3 linked regions of the Yarrowia lipolytica genome follow. The protein of the gene in region 3 binds, or shares a complex with, the protein of the main gene of each other region. Links are inferred from orthologs where the notes say so. Each region holds a gene or a part of one and is shown on either strand. Other genes may lie near its edges. The genes, in order: YALI1_A02561g, YALI1_B06487g and YALI1_E31529g.

Evidence for each region.
Region 1: YALI1_E31529g (region 3) and YALI1_A02561g share a complex: the UniProt entries of both Saccharomyces cerevisiae proteins name them as parts of the nuclear RNase P and RNase MRP complex. The link is inferred for Yarrowia lipolytica from reciprocal best matches to the Saccharomyces cerevisiae genes RPP1 and POP7.
Region 2: YALI1_E31529g (region 3) and YALI1_B06487g share a complex: the UniProt entries of both Saccharomyces cerevisiae proteins name them as parts of the nuclear RNase P and RNase MRP complex. The link is inferred for Yarrowia lipolytica from reciprocal best matches to the Saccharomyces cerevisiae genes RPP1 and POP5.

The regions. Positions count from the first base shown.
Region 1 is NC_090770.1:253,104-260,565, reverse strand, and holds YALI1_A02561g (uncharacterized protein), read left to right. Parts: upstream 1-4,373; coding exon 4,374-4,811; downstream 4,812-7,462. Other genes in the region: YALI1_A02615g (uncharacterized protein), read left to right, coding at 1-1,303; YALI1_A02568g (uncharacterized protein), read right to left, coding at 1,456-3,723; YALI1_A02552g (uncharacterized protein), read right to left, coding at 4,868-5,092, 5,149-5,319; YALI1_A02546g (uncharacterized protein), read left to right, coding at 5,876-7,462. UniProt on the Saccharomyces cerevisiae protein: Component of ribonuclease P, a protein complex that generates mature tRNA molecules by cleaving their 5'-ends. Also a component of RNase MRP, which cleaves pre-rRNA sequences.
Region 2 is NC_090771.1:644,777-652,283, forward strand, and holds YALI1_B06487g (uncharacterized protein), read right to left. Parts: upstream 4,003-7,507; coding exon 3,529-4,002; downstream 1-3,528. Other genes in the region: YALI1_B06489g (uncharacterized protein), read left to right, coding at 4,201-4,312, 4,748-6,009; YALI1_B06508g (uncharacterized protein), read left to right, coding at 6,033-6,070, 6,139-6,367; YALI1_B06514g (uncharacterized protein), read right to left, coding at 6,527-6,705, 6,749-6,833. UniProt on the Saccharomyces cerevisiae protein: Component of ribonuclease P, a protein complex that generates mature tRNA molecules by cleaving their 5'-ends. Also a component of RNase MRP, which cleaves pre-rRNA sequences.
Region 3 is NC_090774.1:3,149,631-3,157,393, reverse strand, and holds YALI1_E31529g (uncharacterized protein), read left to right. Parts: upstream 1-4,505; coding exon 4,506-5,390; downstream 5,391-7,763. Other genes in the region: YALI1_E31565g (uncharacterized protein), read right to left, coding at 1-896; YALI1_E31555g (uncharacterized protein), read left to right, coding at 1,781-1,816, 1,859-2,104; YALI1_E31540g (uncharacterized protein), read left to right, coding at 3,298-3,301, 3,354-3,601; YALI1_E31498g (uncharacterized protein), read right to left, coding at 5,933-7,063, 7,402-7,602. UniProt on the Saccharomyces cerevisiae protein: Component of ribonuclease P, a protein complex that generates mature tRNA molecules by cleaving their 5'-ends. Also a component of RNase MRP, which cleaves pre-rRNA sequences.

The sequences.
Region 1 (7,462 bases), on a different chromosome or scaffold from region 3:
GTCGGCTGCCCAACGGTCGCGACAGGAGCTGCTGCGGGTGCGACGACCTGAAGCATCACGGGATCTCAAGGATCTCATTTTTGAGTGCGACAGCGGCATGTCACTGCAATTTCAAAAGTTCGCAAACGTGTGCGAGACTCTGGCGCTCAACAACGGTTTTGTGGTTTCGCCTCTCAAGCCTCCCGGAACCTCGACCAACGTTCGTTCCATGCGAGAAAACGCTGCTCTCATTGATAACGAGAAGGACTTCTTTGACTCGGTGATGGCAGTGCCTCGAAAACAACGGCTTAACAGAGATGTGGTTCAGTACAAGTCGCGTGCAGGCCCCAAGTCGTCGTTCAACTACTCCAGCAGCAACAACAACACCACCTCGGTGTCCAGGCCGGTCAAGGGCCCGACCCCATTTGCCAGCTCCTCAAACCCCTCCCCATTCTCATCTTCCACTCCCTCTTCGGCAGGTGTGGGACAGCGAAACGTGTCTTCGGGAACCACCAATTCCGTGTTGCAGCCCCCAGGCGCGTCTTCTATGACCAGCCTTGCACCTAGTGGAGCTGCTGGCACGATCGGAGGCATCGCTGCCTCTCGAGTGGCCTCCACTTCTTCTACCACAGCTCCTCCTCCCATTCAGCCCACAATCTCTATGGACCAGCAGTCGGTGACCTCCTCGGTGGTGCCTACGCAGTTCCCCCCTGGTGTGACGGACTCCATGCCTGTCTACGGCACTCCCATCGAGGATCTTCTCGACTATGAGGGTGGAACCGTACCGAGAGCAGTGTACCAGTGCGTGCAGGCCATTGACAATTTCGGTCTGGAAGTGGAGGGTATCTACCGAGCCAATGGAAACAACTCGCAGATCCAAGAAATCAAGCATCTGTTTGACACAGACCCGTCCAAGGTGGACTTGCTGCATCCTTCAGACAACCTCAACGACATTCATTCGGTGGCTTCTGCCCTAAAGCTTTACTTCCGAGAGCTGCCCGACTGTCTACTAACCAAGGAGTTGCATCAGGAGTTCATTGATGGCGCCATGATTGAAAACGCGATACAACGACGAGACGCGCTCCATGGAACCGTCAACAAGCTTCCCGACGCTAACTACACAACTTTGCGGTACCTGATTTTCCACCTGTACCGAATCCAGGAGCGCGAGGCAATCAACCGAATGTCGGTGGTAAACCTGGGCATTGTCTGGGGTCCTACGTTGATGAACACGGACTACGGCAATGTGGCCGAGATGGGCTTCCAGGGCCGAGTCATTGAGACTATTCTGGTGAACGCCTATGTCATTTTTGATGCGGAGTAGTCGCGAAGGATATTCACTCTATTATATAATGAATTAGGCTGGCTACAAGCAGTGTTACCAGTTATGAAATGTTGTCCCGTAGAAATGCAGCGTAAAAGCCGTATCCAACAAGCCTCACTGATGAGTTTTGTATAGCCATCGGCTTATAAATATTACGCTACATAATCGTAAACATCTCGTCCTTGGCGGGAAATGAAGTCGTCAGTAATGAGTTTACTGATATTCTTTTTCACGTCCGCCACCTCTAGAATGCCTCGTGATTTCGTTTTATCCAACACCTCCATCACGAGTTCTGCATGTCCCACAGTCCGCCTGGCTTTCATGATTCGGATAATGACAGCCTGGATCTCCATGTTCCTATCTCTCTCCAAAGTGTCCTGAATGGCTTTATGGGGTAACATGATATCGTCTGCTCCTCTGGCGACGGAAGGCACCTTTACTCGTCGTAGTTTCGAGCTAAAATTCCAGTTGAACTTGTACCGTGTCTCATCCCCTTCTTCTTTGATGAGAATCTTCACCTTCGGCGTCATGAGGGAGTGTAGAGACATGGTCAACTCTCTCTCAGAAATACCTGTAGCAGCCAGGAGGTCCGCGAAGGTTATGTGCGGTCTTTTCTTCTCATCCACAAACTGCATCATCACTAGCGCCTGATGCAGAGACACGTCAAACTCCTTGGTGTCTTCGTTGAGATGTGCTCTGATTGTACACGAGGACAGAGCGTGTTGCCAGGTGACTTTCTTCTTTGTGTTCTTGGGATCTTGGCTGAGAAACTTGGAAAAGTTGTCTAGCTGCGAGTACATTTGCGACGGTAGCCGGATGGGTGATGTGGAAGCCGGAAATTGCGGCCATGCGTTTTGACTCAACATGTTGACATTCAGGTCGAAGTTGCCGTACTTTGTGTATATCTCAGAGTCGCGATATTGCGCCATGGTAGCGGGCGAGTTGGTTCGCACATCCTTGAGCATTGTTTCCATGGATTCTGTCAACTCAGGTCCAAACTCGTCTCGTAGAATGGTCAACAGTTCGCTTTCACTTTCCAGACCAAGTGCTCGACCCACCAGCAGACGTTTACTGAGGTATCGCTTGTAGTAGACTTCAAACACGTCCTTCTCGGGGATGCACGAGAGCAGAAATGTGAGTGTTTTAACATCAGCCGTATTCTTCAAGCTGTCTCCTCCTTTAGCTCCTTTTCGTAGTAGCGAGTCGGAGAATTTGGCCAGCTGTTCAGATAGGTTTCTCTTACCCCTCATGCTGTTTCTGAACCCTGCCACCCAGTCCGGTGCCTTGTTGATGAGATCTGCGTCTGCCAGTGCCTCAGTGACTCGACTACTTTTGTGGTACGACTGCACGACAATGTCGATATTTGTAAAAGTGGGTCCCAGGACAGTTTCGATCCATTGGCGAAAGATGTCACCGATTCTGAGCTGCTGCTCAGAGCCCTCGAACGACAACAACGACAGCTGACGAATGTAAGGGAACATGAGTTCATCTTCAAACGACTCAGTCACTCCTCTGCGAATGAACTGGACATGCGGAACGATCATCTCTTCGGGAAGGGCAGACATGATCATTTCAACCCGAGATGAGTCCTTTATCAGCTCCTGAATGCGTCTATGCTCTGTGACTTGGGTATCAACCACCAGCTGAAGATATTGAACGGGGCTCATAATCTGCCACTTTTCAGCCTGCAACTTGAAGTAGAGCCGACTCTGCACCGCCACCGTTTTGATAATGCGCTGATATTGCTCACTGGACTCTCCACAGAGCTCTCGAACCACATTCTCGCACTGCTGAAGCAGCAATGCCGAATCAGAAGCTCCACGAACCAGATTGGCGAAGATAGAAGCGAAATCTGTCTCCACCCGCTGGCTAATAACTGCGTAAATCCTGTCTCGGACGAGATCCTGACATCTCCGGAGAATGTCGCTCCCCCCATTGCCACTCTGAAGCAGGAAACTGCGGTCCAGGTAGAAATAGATGAGTTGCAGCTTGAGAATGCGGCTTCTCCACATGTCGTACTCGTCCAGAAAAGCTGCGGTGATCGATTTGAGCCCGGCCTGGCTGATGGCTTCAATGTTCTCCAAACACTTTGTCGTCAGCGGCTCGATACACTCCTTGAACAGCGACTGCCAGCATTGCGCGCCCTTGCCATGCCGACAGAATGTCTCCACCATGCGATAGAGCTCCTCCTCGGGCACGGTCACTGCGCCTCCGTCCAGAGCAATGATTTTCGTCTGCGCCAGAAGAACCTGCTGCTGCTGCTCGAAAAAGCGCTGGATGGCCTCGCCGTCGTTGGAGGACTGCCGCCGCTCGACCTTGATGTTTTTCGCCGCGATTTTGCGCGTGTAGAACTTGCCCACGTGTCGTTCAATCCCTCGTTTCATTGATGTTAAAACCAAACTCTGTCCACCAAACTTCATGCCTGATAAGAGTTAGGTGATTGGGGTAGGGGTCCATATCACGAGTGTATAGCAGAGGTGTGTATTGATAGAAAATGTTTAATGAATAGCGAAGACAGGATCAAGGGGACATTTATATTAGTAAGCAGTTGGAATATACCACTAATACCGCAATGGAACTTCTTTGCTGGTTCTCATATCGTACAGTCCCAGTACATACAGTGCTCCCAGTACGGATCTACAGTGTGTTGTAGGTGCAGTATGAACTGTAGGTACTGTACCAGGCTAATAGCTCTCCGTTTTCACCTAACTACGAGTACTGTTCGTACTGTTCGCACTATTCAATACGGTAGCTACGATATTACGATATCATCATACCACGGTGGATCCTTTCCAAGCCGAAATTGCCCTATCAAAGTTCACCTGATTTTGGCTATTATAACTCGTCCGGATCGACTCTGCTATATCTCCACTGTGGGAACGAAAATCTCTCTTAAAAGAGGGTCATAACATTGCTTTCGGCTCATACATCTCCTTGACCTGTAAAAACCGCTTGTATATGTTGAACTGATGCAACTTCGCGCCTTGCTTGGGCCCTGCTCAGCTGACTAATACAATTATCGACACCTGCATAATCTGCTGAAATTTATAATTCAATCTCTGACACAACAATGGCACCAGCGGCACAAAAGCGAACTCGGGTGGAGGGAACGATAGTGAAGCATGCGCCGATCAGACTGGTTGGAAAGGCGTCGCAGGACTGTTTCTATGTGTCCAGCAAAATGGCCTTTGTGTCTGCTCTCAAGAAGGTGACCAAGCTGCTAAAACCCAGTCGCAAGCAGCCCAGGCGCCAGTACATTCGAATGATGGGCATGGGAAAGTGCGTGGACAAGACCATCAGCCTGGGGCTGCGCTTTCAGAAAGAGGGATACAAGGTGGATATCTTCACGGGCCAAACGACTCTGTTTGATGAGATCAAGGTGGCTCACGAGACGTCAGAGAAGATGGAGGTGGATGGAGACGACGAGTCGGACAGCGATGAGGAGATTGTCAAACAACAGCGGATAATCAGTACCATTGAGGTGCGCGTATATCAAAGGGATCAGTGATGGGACCACGGATCACTAGCGTTGTGTTGTTGAATAGGGATAGCATTAATAAATATTTATACAAGAGACTTGGCCGAGTCGTAGACCACACGAATCTCGTAAACGTCTCGGGCGTGTTTCTTTTCCACTTCGGGACTCTCCAGCAACTTGCTGTCGTCCACCACCTTGATACATTCCGCGTACTTTTTCAGGAAGTAAGCCCGTTCCGCAGCATGTCGTACAGCATGTCTGTCGAGTCGGTCCATGCCGTCGATGTTGCTGTAGTCTCTTTCCAGGATTGACTGTGTTAGTGGAAGGAACCAATGTAAGTGATTTGGTGAGCTGTGGAGGTACTCACTGTCAAGGTCTGAACGGGAGGCCCCGAGGTGTACAGATCCACCTGTCTCTGGTACTCCTCCGCGCTCTGTCCCTTTCGGACTTTGCCCTTGCCCTTTTTGGGCGCCTCGTTGAGCACCTTGCGGGGCTCTGTGTCGATGGAGATTGCCGCCAGTTCGTCTGTGAGCTCCATGTGTGTGAATTAGCTGAATTTCATTTCGAAAAAAAGATCACGATAGTCTGAAACTTTGTTGACGGGAGTGCAGAATTTTTGATGTAGGAAAAGTACCGTGCAGTACTTGAAGAAGGCTCTTTTGGGAGGGTAATTGGTTAGCTTTAGTTGGAGAAGAGAAATTAAGTCAACTAAATATTTGAAAAAAATATTTGAGTAGTAGGACACCAACGGGGCTGCAAAAGGTCGACAAAGAGGCAGTGTTGGAACTGTAACTGCAGCAAAGTACCCATTATCGTTTTTACAGTCGCATATTACAGTATGGAGTATATATATACGCAAATTAGGCGATTTTGGGAGCTTTTTTGAAGACATCATTATCCAGGGTCTTGTAGTTGCTTCTTTAGACGGTGGGGGGTGGTTGGACTTGCACGTTGCTGCGATTAGACGGCGCCGAGAGGTTCAATTACATCGCATGGGGCAAGTTGGGGGGCGGTCCAGGAACGAATTGAGACTTTTTTTTTCAGATTTATGTCAGTCATTTTGGCCCTTGGACTCGCACTCGTAGCGATCTACAATGCTCTTTCAGTTGGCAGTAAGATGCATACAGGAAAATAACCTCGTAATGCAGGGCCCCAAAAATCAAGTTCAAAACATCGACAGTGCTACCTCGTCACATTCCATCGACATGTCCAATTCGAACGCTGGTGACGGCGAAAAGCCCCAGAAAGGAGCGGCGCCGACCTTCGCATTTGGTCAGAAGCCGCAATTCAACTTTGGTGCCACTACCGCCAAGTCTGACGACATGAAGGAGGACTCAAACTCGGACAATACACACACAAAAACAACAGACACAGAGGCCAAACCGGCCTTCGGGAGCGGCGGATTCTCGTTCGCCAAACCCGCGGAGCCCAAGGATGGCGACTCCGACAAGAAGGACACAAAACCAAGCCTGTTTGACACCCCGGCCAAACCCAAGGCCTCTCTGTTCGATACACCCAAGGATTCGGTCCACAAGTCTAGCACCGACAAGCCTACGTTTGGAGGGTTCAATTTGGGAGATCAGTCCGACAAGCCGGCTTTCACTGGTTTTGGTGTGAAGAAGGAGGACAAGACTGAGGACAGTAAGGACAAGCCTTCTGGATTCTCATTTGGAACCAAGAAAGACAACGACAAGGGAAATGACAAGAAGGACGATGAGAAGCCCTCTCTGTTCAGTTCGTCCAGCATCGACAAGCCTGCTACTGGAGGATTCCCCAAGCTGTCGTCTGGTGGATTTGGCTCTCCCTCTGGATTTGGCACTTCTAGCTCTGGAATTGGATCTTCCTCTGGTGTTGCTACTGGCAGCTTCAGCTTTGCAGCCGAGAAGGAGAAGGAAAAGGGAAAGGACGATTCAAAGCCCACGTTGTCCTTTGGAGCATTCGGTTCCAAGCCCGAGGACAAGAAGGACGACAAGGAGACTAAGCCGGAGAAGGCCAAGAAAGATGATAAGCCCTCTGCTTTTTCGTTTGGTGTCAAGAATGAAGACAAGACGGCTCCGTCTTTGGATGTAAAGGAGGACAAAAAGGACGATAAGCCTGCTTTCTCATTTGGTGTCAAGAAGGAGGATGTAAAGAAGGACGAGAAGCCCGCGTTGTCATTCGGTACCAAGAAGGAGGGTGAAAAGCAGGACGAGAAGCCTGCTTTCTCATTTGGTGTCAAGAATGAGGATAAGAAGGACGGGAAGCCCGCGTTGTCGTTTGGAGCCAAAACAGAGGATAAGCCTTCTGCGTTCTCCTTCGGTGCTAAGAAGGAGGATGACAAGAAGGAGGACAAGCCTCCTCTGTCTTCTGGTGGTACTAAGAATGCGGACGAAAAGATGACTGACTCCAAACCAGCGCTTTCTTTTGGTGCCAATGCCCCCACTTCATCTTCTGCTCCCACTTTTAACCTGGGTGCTAAGAAGGACGACACAAAGACTGCCACCCCTTTCTCTCTCGGTGCCCAGAAGGACGAGACGAAGCCCACGGGTCCTTCCTTTTCTCTTCCTCCGAAGAAGGAGGACGACAAGCCTGCTACAGCGTCTTTCTCCTTTGGAGCTAAGAAGGAGGACGACAAACCTGCGGCCCCATTGTTCTCTATCGGAACCCAGACCGATAACAAGTCTGGCGGTTTCACTTTTGGA
Region 2 (7,507 bases), on a different chromosome or scaffold from region 3:
AGAGTTGAGAAAAGAAGCCGGAATCCGGGGTTTAACTAACGGTATATTTAAAGTTGGCGTGTTTACGTTTTGACTTTGGGCTGCGTCAGGGTATTTGCAGGGACTCTGGAGAACGCAGAGCGTATAGGAGACCAAATATATGCAGATAACCGGGTTATTCGAGGCGCCAGAATCCCTCTGATATACTTTTCTCGCAAATAGCTTCAATATTGACAACCATATGCCCGTTCAAACTCCAACACCTTTCAAACCATATTTACATGCGGCTGAGTGCGGCTGAAACACCGCTAATCAATCAGATCAACGACAACAGACACAGCAGAGACAAGTGACACAAACGCCAATTCACGGACTTGGGGCTGTTTCCAAACACCGTCTATCTGTGCACAAACACGTCTGGGGTCACGTGGTGTGTTCAAATCTGCGTTCTTATCCAATTATATAAGCATAGATTGGGTTCGGGTAGACGACGTAATGGGTCTTGGAGCGTGCATGAACATCGTCGGCAATTGGCTGAGGAGTGATTCTTGAGTGAATAATCAAATTGAGGATGACTATTCTAGTAACGTGCTCGGGTTGACTAATGAGGTATTAGTGATTGTTTGGATCGTCGGGATCTTGGTGATGATGTGCATCTAGCCGTCATTCAGATATACCGAAGACCCTGAAGGAGTTACGAAGAACTAATTGAGATTTGGACCGAACATAATTCAAAGATTGAAACCTCTCTGTCAATACAGACTGCTCAATTAAGTTATGAGCTCTTTTATTACCCATAACGACCTGCTTAACCACTGGTGGCAGTACCGTACAGAATGTCGTTCCCGTGGCAACAGGTCCGTGGAAGGGACAGATAGTTGAGTAACAGCTAACTTTGGTCATCTACTGGTGACAGTATTACAAATTTACTTTCAAACACCGCACGTCAGCTTGTATTCTGCTTAAATACCATGTCCTCTGTTACACAACCCCAACAGGGGTTGAAGGGTTTTCCTGTCTAACGTGCTTTCGAAGTAATCAACGAGGCCGATGTCAGACTTCCAAAGAGACTTCCAAAGTGACGCTTCTCGAGGACGGCCTGTTCCAGCAGGTCGCTTTACTCCATCTCTGCCGGAGAGAGCCGGGGAGAATCATTAAAACGTCAACGCTCCCCAAATCTGCTTCAGGATTTAACACTGGATAAATGCTGACATTACAGTGCCAAATCTGCTCTAGACGTCAAGTGTCTTGCTAGAAGGGTATACCCCGTTTCATGGCCATGTATGCAGGTCGTAACTATGTCTAAAAGTCCACCATCAATGCCAGGAACTCTCCGGCCATGATTGCAATCCAAATCCCGAGACAACTTTCTGGCTTTCTGCTCAGAAGCCAGTGGTCGCTGCCAGGTAGAACAGGAACAACATCTCTTCGTTTAGCATATTCTCATGCTGGCTACATAGATGGAACTCTTACTGGATCTTGTGAGATGGACATCAAATAGAAGCCGACATGAAAGGGCTACACGAGCATTTGAGCTCCTCGACAGCTTCACTGTATCTTTTTACAGGTGGTGCTGCAACAGCGAGTTTCTGGTTCTGTATCAGACCCCCGAGAGTGAAGCTACACGGGCCCTATAACGACGGGTGGTCCAAATCAAGTGTGGTTGAAGTTGATACATGGGTCTTATCCTCAGCTCTGTCTGACTCGAAAACTTATCAAATCGGCATAGTATCACACACTATGCTGATGTCGGTCAAACTGATTCTTGGCCGACGAGGGAGCCTTTACCGGAGAAGTGTCGCCCAGGGAGTGCCACTATCAGCTATTTTACTGTGAACCATTGGTATCAGGAACTCTCCTTTCGTTCTGAGGTCTGTTCTGGCCCAATCCAGCAGCATCAACAAAACAGGCCAGAGATCAACTGCAGTACAGTAGTATAGGTTTAGGAAGGGCAGATGAGCTCAAGCAAGTCTCGGTTTTGTATATCTATTTGAGAGGTTGAGCAGTTGTATTTTTCTAATGATTCTTTACAGCTATATACCTAGTAAGCCGGGTTATTGGCGTTCAATAAATCATATACTTCTGAATCTGCGATGTGCGCACTTTTTTTCGCATTCTTCTCGAATAAAATGCTTCGACACCTTTTTTGAACATATTTCTGGTCCTATGGCACAGCGGTAGCGCGTGAGATTGCAAATCTTAAGGTCCCGAGTTCGAATCTCGGTGGGACCTCTTTTTTATGGAGAAGGGAGTTTCTCATGAACGCCAGGCTTTCATAAGCCTTTTACCATTGTTGGTTCAACTGGCGGTTTTTTTTTTTACTATAGATTCAAGAACACATTTACCGTATGGTGCAGCGCATATTTGTACATGCCTTCGCGTACCAGGACACCAGGATGTGATGCTCTGTAAACAGTCAAAGACAGCTCACAATTATCCAGATTATCCAGATAGCCAATTGACCATTGCAATTGTCTTGTTTTTTCAGCTCTTGGACCTCGCACAAGTGTCGAACCCCTACGGTAAGCCTGGTGGTGGTACTTGGTCACCAGTGCAGTTGAGACAGACAGATACTTGTATATTACAGATATGACCGGAACCTGAACTTTTTCCGGATACTTCTTTCAGATACTCTTTCAGATACTCTTTCAGATACTCTTTCAGATACTCTTTCAGATACCTTTTTTCAGATCGTACAATACCCTCCTTCTCATTGTGTTACTGCTCAGCTGGTTGAGCAACGGATACCATACGGTACTGACACAGCAAGGCGCAAATCCATGAAGTGATACGGTCAAGGGCTCTCCTCATCTCTGGGGCAGCTTCCAACTTGCAGATATCTAAAGACAACCAGACTCTAGAGACAACTTCCCCAGACTCTAGAGACAAGTCCTCTCCTGGCTCTTTACCCTTCACCCGGTTTCTACAACGTGTGTTCCGTCGCTGAATCTAGTATTGAGAGTCGGTGACGTATCTGGGGTCTATTTCTCACTTTCGCTCGAGAAGAATACAACTACTGTAGGCGGCAAAAGTTCCCCAACGCTAGCCTTGGGGAGAGAGAGCCTCAGCTGGTCTTCTCGAACTAACTGGACTCCAGATTGAAGGAAGAGCCCAGACTGAGTACAGAGTTCTTCTTTGCTCCAGTCATGGTCATGACTGAAGATAGAGGATCATCTGTAAACCGACATTCGGGAGGTCGTACTGCAACTGTGGTTAGAATGGTATGCGAGACTTGGTTCACCTCATATACAATGCTCGTGAAGAATAAATAAATCCTTTAGTCTATGCAGCCTACGGTCCATCATATCCTGATGAAACATGCTTCCAATGCCCGATCTCAGAAGAAGCACATCGATATCCTTTGACTAAAAGTCCAATCGACAAACTCACTCTTCACCAACAGCCAAAGTGCTGGTACCAGTAATGCTGCGTGAACTGGTCCGTTGGTGCAGATCGTCCATCCATACAGGCTACTCCACGAACCCACTCCCTCACCAAACCTCTAGTCGGCTTCTGGCGCAAACTGGTTCACCCGAAACGCTGTGTTCGTTACTCCTCATCCGACATGTCCACTTTCTCCTCCTTCACGGCCAGGCCACCCCTTTGCAGATACCGCACAATCTGTTGATTGCGTTCAATCGCCGCTATCTCGCACTTTTTGATGGTGGCACTCACGTGCACCACGTTGATCACCACGGGCGTGTTATCAATGTCGGTGATGTTGGTGAGCGCAGCCCAGAACTCACGCAAGAACTGCCGCCCAACCCGCACTATGCCCGTCGACGTTACCGGTGAAAAGTACTTGACATTGAGCGTTGTCATGATCGAGCCCGCGCCCAAATCGCCGTGCAACTCCTCCATTTCGTCCTTGAATATCTGCGTCAGGTTGCGGGCGTTGACCACAGAGGCGTCGGACGTTCTGTGGATCTTGAGGAACCGCGTTTTGGCATCCTCCGACGTCGACAGAGTGTCTGTGGGGTAGACTATTTGGAAAAGCAGATATCGCGACTTGAGTCGTACCATTGTGTTGCAGAAAAGCAGTGCGAAAAACCGAATGTTGAAATTTCAAAAATAAAAATAAAAAAATGCCAAATCTTAACTCCAAAAAGTATAAGGCTGCATAATCTAGATCCCAGACGGAAAAAAACCAACCTCGGAACCAACGTCGAAACCAGGACACAAAAGAAGCCAGACCGGTTGAGCTTGCCCACATACGACTCTATGGCGAAAAAGAAGAGAACTGTTGGCATCTCCGGCGTGGCGGCATTTCTAAACAGCGCCAGAACAGAGGAGGTGAAGGTGGAGTCTCATCGATTCAAACGACAGAAGATTGGTGAGTATGGGGTGGAGTTTAGGGGGATTGAGGTGGTCACGTCACATGCCAGCTAGCACTATTGTCGCGGGTTAGTCTTGCTGAGAGCTGGTTTGCAATGTCTGCACTGCGACATTGAAGTGGATCGCGTCGCATGATGGCGTTATGAATGAGTAGGGGTTTCCTCTGTTTTGTTTGCAGTTGGATCTTTCTCGTTGTAAGTTGATATTCCTCGCGCCTTGATACCTGTATCCGTCCGAGTGAGTATCCAATTCGAGGTGACATTATGCAGTAAGACCGCAGGATGATGTCCCGTGTGTATAGTCCATTAGACGTCTGGCTTGTGCCTTGCCATGAGATGACGGTTGCCATGTGGTTTATCGATTGAGCTTTGCTTCGGACTTAACTGTGGGTTTGTTTCTCATGTCAGAGTCAGTTCAATCAAGACTAACACAGAATTTGCTCCAACCGCAGGCGCCGACAAGACTGAGTCTTCAGACTCAGATGGCCCTGAGGAGGACTCCATGCATGCTCCTCCGCGGGGTGGTGTTGAGGTGGGGGGTAGTAGTGGAGGTAGTGACTCGGGCGCTGGAGCTGATTCTGGCTGTGAAGCTCACTCTGATTCTGGCTCCGGAGCTGACTCTGGCTCTGAAGCTGACTCTTCCTCTTCCTCTTCCTCTTCATCTGATTCATCTTCTGACAGCGAGTCTAAGACTGAAGCTGCAACAGAAACAGAAGATTCCACCATCTATCATACGACTCTTCCCCCAGCTCTTCCTGAAGAGATTGAATCTGGTTCTGGTTCTGGTTCTGAAGCTGCCGAACCTGAGTACATCAAAGAGCATCCCCGTTCTGCAACTGCCGGTTACACCCGTCATACACCCTACTGGCCCGACTACTCTACGCTTCCCAAGTCACTATCCAACTACTACAACCAGCGACATTTTTTGTTCTCCAAGTTCGACGAAGGAGTGCTCCTCAACAACGCCCAATGGTTCAGTACGACCCCCGAACTGGTGGCCGAGCAGGTAGCCCAGCATTTGTGGAGCCGGTTTCCTGATCCCAATCTCGTGGTGGTGGATGCATTTGGAGGCGCTGGCGGAAACGCCATTCAGCTGGCCCATTACTATGACCACGTTATTTGCATCGACATTGAGCCCGAAAGTATCACGTGTGCAAAACAGAACGCTTGGGTCTATGGTGTTTCGGAGAAGATTCAGTTTGTGGTAGGAGACTGCCTGGAGGTTCTGGCTCGTCCCGAGTTCCAGTCCATCACGGATATCATTTTTGGAAGCCCGCCTTGGGGAGGGCCTAGCTACAAATCACATGGAGGGAAATTTGATCTGTTCGTCATGGAGCCTCTGGAGTTGCGAACAATCCATGACGCGTTCTTCAAGGTCACAGACAATGTGTGTTACTTCCTGCCAAAGAACAGTGACTTGGAACAACTCCAACACGTCTGTGGAGCCATTACCGCGCTGGTGGATGTCAATACCGGCAAGAACCCCTTTGCTTCACTCTGGCCTGTGCAACAACAATGGGCCAAAACGGTATGTCGAGAAAAGCTGGGGCTGGAGGTAGCCCTGAAGCAGACTCGAGCGGGGGATGATGTCAAGGAGGAGGATCTGGGAAAGAGTAACGAGGGAGTCACATTGACTTACAACTACATCAACGGGAGGTTGAAGGGATGCATGGTTTACTTGGGGGGACTTGCATAGACGGCGATGGAGCAGACACAGTGATGGAGCATACACAGTTGGAGCATAGACATAGATATGAGTGGAGAATAATTTGATTTCAGACATTAATTGTCTCTTGGAAAGATTGTGCTTCCCACATCCCTAAAGTTCCTTCTTACTGTATCTATTCACAGACCCCATCCCCTACCAGTGGTCGTGGTTAGGTCTCCAACGAGGCCATTACGCCGGTCACCAGGTCTCCACGAAGGTCAATGATCATGTCATGTCGTCTACAACTCCCACTCAGGAGCATCCGTCGCGTCGAGCTCCTAATTGGGACCATGGGGCACTCTCAGGTGGGCAACGGGTGACGATACTCCTTGTCAAGTTTGTCTAGAATGTGGGTTAGTTTGGATTTGTCAGCTGGAATCTCTCTCTACTAAGCCAAGGAGATATGATATTCAAATGGAGTCTTTTAAAAGACTAGAAGTCTCACGTAAGAAATTCGTCTGTCTTTCTCTTCTCTACACGACGAACATGACTTCTATGGTTCAGTTCAGTTTCTGCAGTATCTGAGACGGATCTCACAAACTGGATCCTGACAGAGCAATCGCAAGAAGCAATAGCAAGAGCCAATGGCAACAAGTATGCCAGTTAATTCCACCATGTCTGGCTGGTTATTCTGGTCTCTGTTAAAAGGGTCATAATAACGGCTCATAAAGTCGATAGAACCCTCTCCACTCTCTACTCTCTACTCCATTTTCAACTCTTTTTCAACGTCGAGCCTGCCAATCAGGGAGATGTCCTGGATCCATCACTATAGACGACAAGAACTGCTGTATAACATCAAGCACTGTTCCCATAATGATCAAACTCCCTCGAGAATACGGCTACTTCGAGCATGCCACATTCTCTAGATTACGACACCCTAAGAATACTGCACTGATTCCTTCCAGTCAACTCCAACGACACCGTTGACTGCGAATCTTTCCAAACCATTTCTTTCGGGTTGGAGAGACATTGTTCCCCTCCACTCGAGTGGCCTAATCTTTTGGCCCCCCTCACTTCTCCAAGAGTGTGAACTTCTACGGAATCCCTCGACTGGACAGTGGAGTTGTGTATCCTTCATTGATCACTTGCAGCACTATTTTCTGTCGCTGGACATACGTTGAGTGAGTGAATTGTTTTTGGACGTCTCCAGAAACCTGTTACTCGTGATATTGATATTGTACTTCAACTGATCCGGTCGTACATTCAGAATTAGTTCTCCTGATACCACTACAACAGGACTCAAATGATGCTTAGAACAAGCGGAGTTTGGTTATTCAGTTCCCATTCCGATAGTACTGATAATTCCCGACTACCGAGCAACCCTTCGCTTGCAAACATCACGTGGAGCCCACTTGCTCCACTCTCACATTGAAATCCTAATCGCCGAACCCCTAACTCCGGTATCTCCGAACCCAGTTTTTCGGCTCATATTCACGAATAATGCATCCCTTTCATAAACACTGCTATATAATAGCATTTTATTATA
Region 3 (7,763 bases):
TTCATCCAGTCGTAGACTCCGTCTTCGGTCTCGCCGGTCGACTTGAGAGCCTGAGTGAACAGGGCCCGCAGGTAGTCGTAGTCAGGGGTCTCCTCGAAGCCCAGGCCACGGACGTACGATAGGTACTGCTCAAACTGCTCGGGGAAGCCGTCACACAGATCCTTGATGTGTGTCGTCTGTTTCTTTTCGCCAATCTTTTCGTACTTTTGCTTGTTGGTGGCAGCCTTGAGACCCTGCCAAGGCAGACCGCCCCGCAAAAAGTACATGAAGACGTGTCCGAGGGCTTCGAGATCGTCTCGTCGCGACTGCTCTCGTCCCAGATGCGTATTGATGGACATGTATCGTGCTGTTCCGCTCAGCGACTTTCGTTCCCGGTAGGGAATGTGCTGTTTGGTCTTGGGGTCCCGGTACTGCTTGGCCATTCCAAAGTCAACCACGTAGATGAGAGAGGCTGTCTTGGTGCCCTCTCGGCCGATCAGGAAGTTGTCAGGCTTGATGTCTCGGTAGATGAGATGGTTTTCGTGGATGGTCTGTACTCGTGACAGCATCTGCTTGGCAACCATGACGACGGTCTTGATGGAGAATCGTCGGCCACACCAGTCAAACAGATCCTCGAGTGACGGGCCTAGCAGATCGATGACCAGGATGTTGTGCAGGCCCTCTTGGCCAAAGTAGTAGACGTTGGGGATGCCTACACAGCCGGCCAGATGCTTGTATGTTCTGTACTCGTCTCGGAGCTGGGGGGCTTCGGACTTTCGGGGCTCGAACTTGATGGCCACCTGCTGAGTATTAAGCAGGTTGGCTCCTTCGAAGATGACGCCGAATGATCCTTCTCCGATCTTCTTGCCCACTCGGTAGTGGACGCCCACCACGTTGGATGATTGATGGTGAGACATGTTGATGTTGGTGGTGGATTAGCGATTAGCGGGTTTGAGCAACAAAGCTGGTAGCTGCGTTTTTGTAGCCGTGATTAATGTGTTTGTGTGTGCTTGTGAAGAGGTGGATGCAGTGACTTGTCGAAAAGGTCGTTACGTCGAGTCGTTACGTCGAGAGTGTCGTGCCGAGGTCGGTGAGGGCGCCAGATGGGAAGGTACAAATAGACGGCTGCTGCCAACGGGGACCGAGTGCTCGCTCAGACTGAGAGGTGTGTCGTCGAGGTGACAGACTGGGGGGTGGTGGGGGCTAGGGGAAAAAAGGGAGCAGCCTTGGAGAGGGAAGGGGATGGCAGTAGAGCGATTGGGAGTGAGTGTGAAAGTGTAAAATTGGGAGGGAGAAAAAGAGAAAAAGCCAAAGCGGAGGGCCAAGCACAAGTTAAAAACCCAATTTCGGCCGACTCAACAGTGGTGGGAAAATGTCTCGTGTGGGGTGCAACAGGTTCGACGACAAGACGGATCGTGATGTGTAGGAAGGAGAGAGGAAAAGAATGGTGTTTTGGGGGAAAGTCAAGTCACACCGTCGGCTAGTGTTGATTCCACTGTATTATTCGTACTATTACGGCCGCACACAGACCTATCTAACACCATCTTTTGCCTGCCACTAGCGTAAACAAACAAGCCGCAATAAGGACACCTTTACACAATGATCATACATGGTCAGGCAACCTGGGCCACACATATGAGCATACACGAAACAACCCCAAACCGCTCCCCAAGAGGTAATTAATGTGTGACTAGATCGGAAGAGCGGTTCAGCACCCCCCCCCCCCCCCCCCTCGTACAAGTGTAACTAACATACGATGTCCTGTTATTTGCTCATTGGTTGCCAGGCAGCCTCATAATAAATGTGTCTCTCTTCAGTTGCTGTGTGGAGAGGCACAGTAATTAGATCTACCGAGGTTTGAAGTACTTGTACTTACGAGTTCTCCCATAACGATGGCGTATCAACAGTACATGCTTGGTACCAGGCACTCGTTCTATCCATATCCGTCACCAACATCCACCTGTGTATTGTATATCCTCCCCTCCAGCCCATAATTGTCATCCCACCCACATCACTCCTCCTGACTGATTCACGCACAGTATGCAACGGCAAGTGTACACAAACTGTAAAGGTCGGTTGCGCGGCTGGAAAAGGGGTCGCACGTGACTTGATGAGGTGTGTATGAGTGTGTGTCTGTTTGTCTGTCTGGTTGTCACGTCGTTCGTGTTTTTCGGTCTCTTTTGCATCCCTTTTTTTCCCCCTCTTTTTTCCTTCAACTACTTGTATTTCTGCTTCAAAAAATACCCTCTCTTACCCCACTGTTTGCACTGTACTGAGGTCATGTACAGTCGACGTGTGCTGTACAGGGCTAGGCCTGACATGCGGGCTACCGATAAGTGTATTACTGGTAGTCTTGTAACAGGTATACTGTGAGCTACGGAACCGAGCTATTCTATTGTATCTGTTCTGGTGTTACATAAATCTGATATTTGTCAGACTCCGCAATATTCACAGTATTTGTGCTCTTTCTTGGCCTTCTACTGCCATACATGCTTGTCTGTCACTCTGATGTTCTTGTCTTCTCGTGGCTGAACTCTAAGGTGCAGGGTGACAGATACGTACAACAAGTACAAGTACGCAACAGCACAATACTATTACCGTAAGTATTGCGAAACTCATACGTACAGACCGATAGGAGTGTATTCTGTACTTTTATCTGTACTTGGATTCCAGCACGGAATCCTGCTATCAACTAATAGACTTCTCTGATTGGACACGATCCATAGGAGGCTGTGGCTATGCACTACTATGCTCCTGGCTTGAATTAGCCATGCTTCCCAAACGTGACTCAATCAAGCTCTGGACGCCAAACTTGGGCGAGAAAAAAAAGCCGATCCAGGAGCATGCCGGGGGCTGTCGGGAAAGCAAATAGGGTGCAATACGACGAACTGGTAAGGAGCACTTGGAGAGGCAGATTCTGGAGTACTGAATCGTTACGTCGGAAAAGCAGTTGTCGTTTGTTTCTAATTACAAGTACCGGTACACACGCGTTGACAAGTGATAGGCACCTCGACTACAAGCAGTGTAGCTCGCATCCACCCTGATATGTAACGTTGATACGCGAATCAGTGGAGCCCAACAGAGTTGACTTGTGCCCTGTACTCGTACATCCTGTAACGTTGCACTAGAATTTCAGGCGCTGAATCGGTACATACATACGCGACTCTTCTAGATTTATTTTTTGACGAGATATTTTTAGATCACCGTTTTGTTCCTCTCATTTCTGGTTTCAGCTTTTTTATTCATATCAGCCAGTATTTTATTATAAGACTGGTCGCTCCACCCCTGCCTGACTTGACGCCGTCTTGCCGCCGAAGAATGTGTCACTGAAACAGGAGAAGTGATGGGTGTCAGATAGGAGGGGAATACAAGAGTGAGTGGGAAGATCGTGGTGTGGCCATGCACTGGTTCAGTGGGTGATTGTCTGGTATATATGCGAGGACTCAAGAGTGAATATATAGAGAGCTATTGCAGCCAGGCAGTCGGTCTAGAAGTTGTTCAGAAGCCAACCACCTCGAAGTATAGAAAGGAGGTGCAGGGACGCTTTGATCAACTGCTCCAGCTCAGAAGAGAAAATTGGTTTGATTTGAAGAAATATTCCTGTTGGAGATATAAGATCTAATGCTGAGTCCACTCTACACCTTTACGTCAAAGTTATCGCAACTATCCAGTCTTCCTATCTCTGATTCCTCTCCTGATTCCTCTCCTGATTCCTCTCCTACAAGTCCTCATATAATAAAGAATCTGAGCTTATGTTTCCAGAATGCTTCAAGAAAGACATACTCAGAGTATCGAACATAAAAGTCTCTTCTTTCCACTCGTACTGAACTCCACAGCTTTGAATATGACATGTCTGCCCCACACACACACACCTCGAGCCCTGTACTTGTATTAAACCACCAACCCGAACGGCAAGACATGCTACGAAGGTGGAGAGTTTTTAGCTGGGATTCATTCAACTGTACATCATCTTCAAGTTTATGACTCGTTGTGTACAACCTTCTGACTTTCGAGGCTTAGAGACTTTGTCCATCATGAGTCTACACCAAGGTAGAACATAGCACAGGTACCAACTTGTAACAATTCTTCTTCCCTACTCTTATTTAGAGCTTAGTGAAGTTCTCTCAGGGCTATAGATCCTATCTTCGCTTATAGAAAAACCAGCTTCCCAAACGCGTTCCACTCTAGCACACCACAGACGTCCTTCAGAGACCACATTCTTCGTTATGGTTGATTTCTAACCAACACAGTTACTGTGCTTCCAATACTGAGTCCATTAAGTGCTTTATTTCAAGCTCGCGCAACACACCCATGCCCTCCAAATTTCTCACCAGCATTCTCATTCACAATACTCAACTAAACTCCCAAGCATCTTTTAGCTCTATACTTACCAGTGCCTTCTTTCATCTAAACCGCACACACAGCAAGTCCTATCTCTGGGATCACCAATCAACATCGAAGTAAGTCAATGAGATTATCAGCCTATATCTTCGCTGCAAATCAGTCCCTCCATTTCCCCTACCTCCATGACCTTCAAACATTTGATGCTGCACCTCCCATGCACCCAAAACTTAGTATGCAATATTTTGAACATAAGCCTCTCTACCTTCCACTATCCTCAAGTACAACCCGAAATGATCGATCTGAACATCCCGTGGCCTGTATCTGGCCCCAATGCCGCGTCGCCGTCCGATAGAGCCAAAATATCCTCCGCCAAGGCATCCATTTTGTTTCTACAGGAGCTGGGGTACAAGGCCGTGGCTCTCAACTGCATCTACCAGGGAAAGATTCCCGCTACTCTCAAATGTCCCGTCCCCGACGAAATCCACAAAGAGTTCCCGGATATACGCATCTACACGCGAGTGACCATTGTTGCCGAGGACCTCAACCACAGCTTCAACCTTCCCAACCTATACCAGCAGTTTGATATTGTGGCCATCAGACCCATGTCGGAAAAAATGCTCCAGGCCGCCTGTACCAATCTGGATGTCGACATTGTGTCGATGGACATGACTCGCCGTCTGCCATGCATTCCGAAACACAAGACCATCGGAGCTGCTACTGAAAGAGGCGTCAAAATCGAGGTTGTTTATGCACCGGGTTTGTCCAGTGATCCCCTGGCCAGAAAAACATCGATTGCAAACAACTCGTTGGTAGTGAGAGCAGCCCGGTGTCGAGGACTTGTCATTTCAAGCGAATCTCTGTCCAGCCTGAGTCTCAGGGGCCCTTTTGATATCATGAACTTGAGCTACATCTGGGGTCTGAACTCGGCTAGAGCTAGAGAAGCTGTGAGCAAGAACCCAGAGGCGGTCATTCGAAACGGACTGCTCAGAAAGAAGAGTTATAAGCAGGTGGTGATTGCAGAGCCGGAGGAGGTGAGAGAGCCGTTGAGGAAGAAACAGAAGGTCTAAAGCATGCACTCATGAGTGTAGTAGGCTGTTTTGCCGCTGCTAAAATGAACACATCTCTTGTAGCTGGCGTCACATGCAGACAGCATCATCTAGCTACAGGTATTGGGTATTCATATTTGATCCTGAAACTGGGCGAAGACTAATGAAAAAAGGAACATTCCCACACCAAACTGCCAGGAAAGACAGATAATGCATCACAGAAGGGGAAGAACATTAACGACATAGAATTATGATTCATTTATATTATATACTGTACATACTACAAGTAGGTGAAGTAATAGGACTACAGTCTGGTAGGACACATTGAGGTATGTTACAACTACAACTTCTGAATATCGCAGGATGTCCGTCACAGTTTACTCCAGATGTAGACGCATTCTTATACGACCGTCACTTACAACATCTTTAATATACATACCAATGCCCTTGGGGGACTGCACCGGATCAGATTTTCTCATATTTTCATTATTTTGGGTATGAACCTCCTGCAAGTTTTTGTGAGATGTCACATACCCCTTCTATAGTTGAACGTCTATTTTTGTCTAGTTGGTCTTGTTGTCCACGGGTCGCAGAGACAGACATCGGATGCCAAGGTAGGAACAGATGACATTGATGGTGTTAACAGCCCAGGTCAAAAAGTTCGCGGCAGCGTAGACAAAGAAGCCCCACAGATACAGAGTCTCGAAGTGGGGATTGTCCTGGGGCAGTAGACCCAGGGCAGGGAGCAGGTAGAACAGAACGGTGGCTCCCAGAAGAGGAATCAGGGTGGAGTTCCACAGAGGGAACTCGAGCTTGGTGAGGTGGTTGAGAATCACACCGGTGGTCAGCCGGCCAAAGACCCACGAGGCGGTCAGTCCAAATAGCACAAGGTGGTTGTCAACCAGCACAGTGGAATAAGGACTCTGCAGCCACACGTAGGCAGCTCCTCCGGCCACGCCAAAGGGCAGGAGGCCCACCAGAGCCTCGGAGAAAGGCACATCGTCCTCCTTGCAGGCCCAATAGACGTTCCACACGCAGAAAGGCACGTGCAGCACCACGAGGGTGAACATGACGACCCAGACCCAGAACTCGTTGAGCTTGAGGTACTCGGGAACCATGAAGGAGAGGAAGGGGAGCACCTCAACGGCATCCTCCTTCCAGATGTCGGTGCCCATGAAGCCGGAGATTAGCATGGTAGACAGGGCCACCACTAGCCCTTCGGTGGGGCCGTTAACAACTCCCAGGTAAAGAGTGTGGGTGTAGTAAGTCTCCCAGGTAGAAAAGTACATACCAATACAGGTGGACAGAACCATGAGGCCTCCGTAGGAGGTGGAACCAAGGGCCACAGCACCGCAGTTGACAATTCCGCCGTAGGTGCAGTTGAGGGAGTCGATTCCGTGGTCAAACAGCTCTCCCAGAGGAGAGGAAGAGCCAGTTCGACGGGCCTGCTTGCCGTCAATATTGTCCATGGTCTGGTAGAAGAAGAGCGAAAAGGCAGAGAAGAAGTAGATCCAGGAGGGACCGTCGCCGGTGAGCTCGGGGGTGTACCAGACGGTGAAGAAGATTGACAGGAGCATGCCGGAGACACCGATGAGAGTGATGGCGTTGGGAGCCAGCCAATCAGGCATGAAGGTTGCTGCGTAAGTCCACCATGGGTTCAGGATGTACTTAGACAGGTAGGATTTATCGACGCTCTGAGTTAGGGGGTTATAAGAAGATAGACGTGTCGATATCGCGGCGACAGTGTATATGTAGCACAGTGGTTGCGTTGTTCGGTTTCAGGCACTGAACGTGTCATTTTGTGATGACAGTTAAATCAAGTATGACACGGAGTGTGTGAATTGGTCAAGACGACACATCGAATGCCATACTGGTCATGAGGTCGCGTGAGAGACTGATGGGTTCATCTCTTACACGTCGATTGTGTCCCTGTTGCAGACCCTGCTGCTGCTCCGCCCCTGCTTCTGTCCTTGCTTCCATGGCTGTTGTCACATTGCTGTCACCGTGTGACCGCCAAACTGGTGATACTCACTCTGTACTGGTACGACTTTAGATGCACTAGACTGTCGGGGTTGATGTGGTGGAATCCTGGCATTAGTAGTGTGGAGGGGATTAGGGTCGGGAGAAAAGTTGGTTGATGGCCCATGGCACGGCTGAGCTGATGAGCATAGCATGTGTTTGTACCCAGCCCAACCCAACCGCAAGTCCCAATCATAGAGGGGCTTTTACCCATGCCTTTAGCACGAGCTACCCACAAGTGCCGTGAGCTAGTGGCCGTTACACAGAGAGCATGGAACGAGACACGGAATGCAAACACCCTGCTGTCTGGCAACCTGCCTGTCTGTGAAGCAACACACGCCTGCGCAACAACGCCAACGGCCAATTTCACTTGAC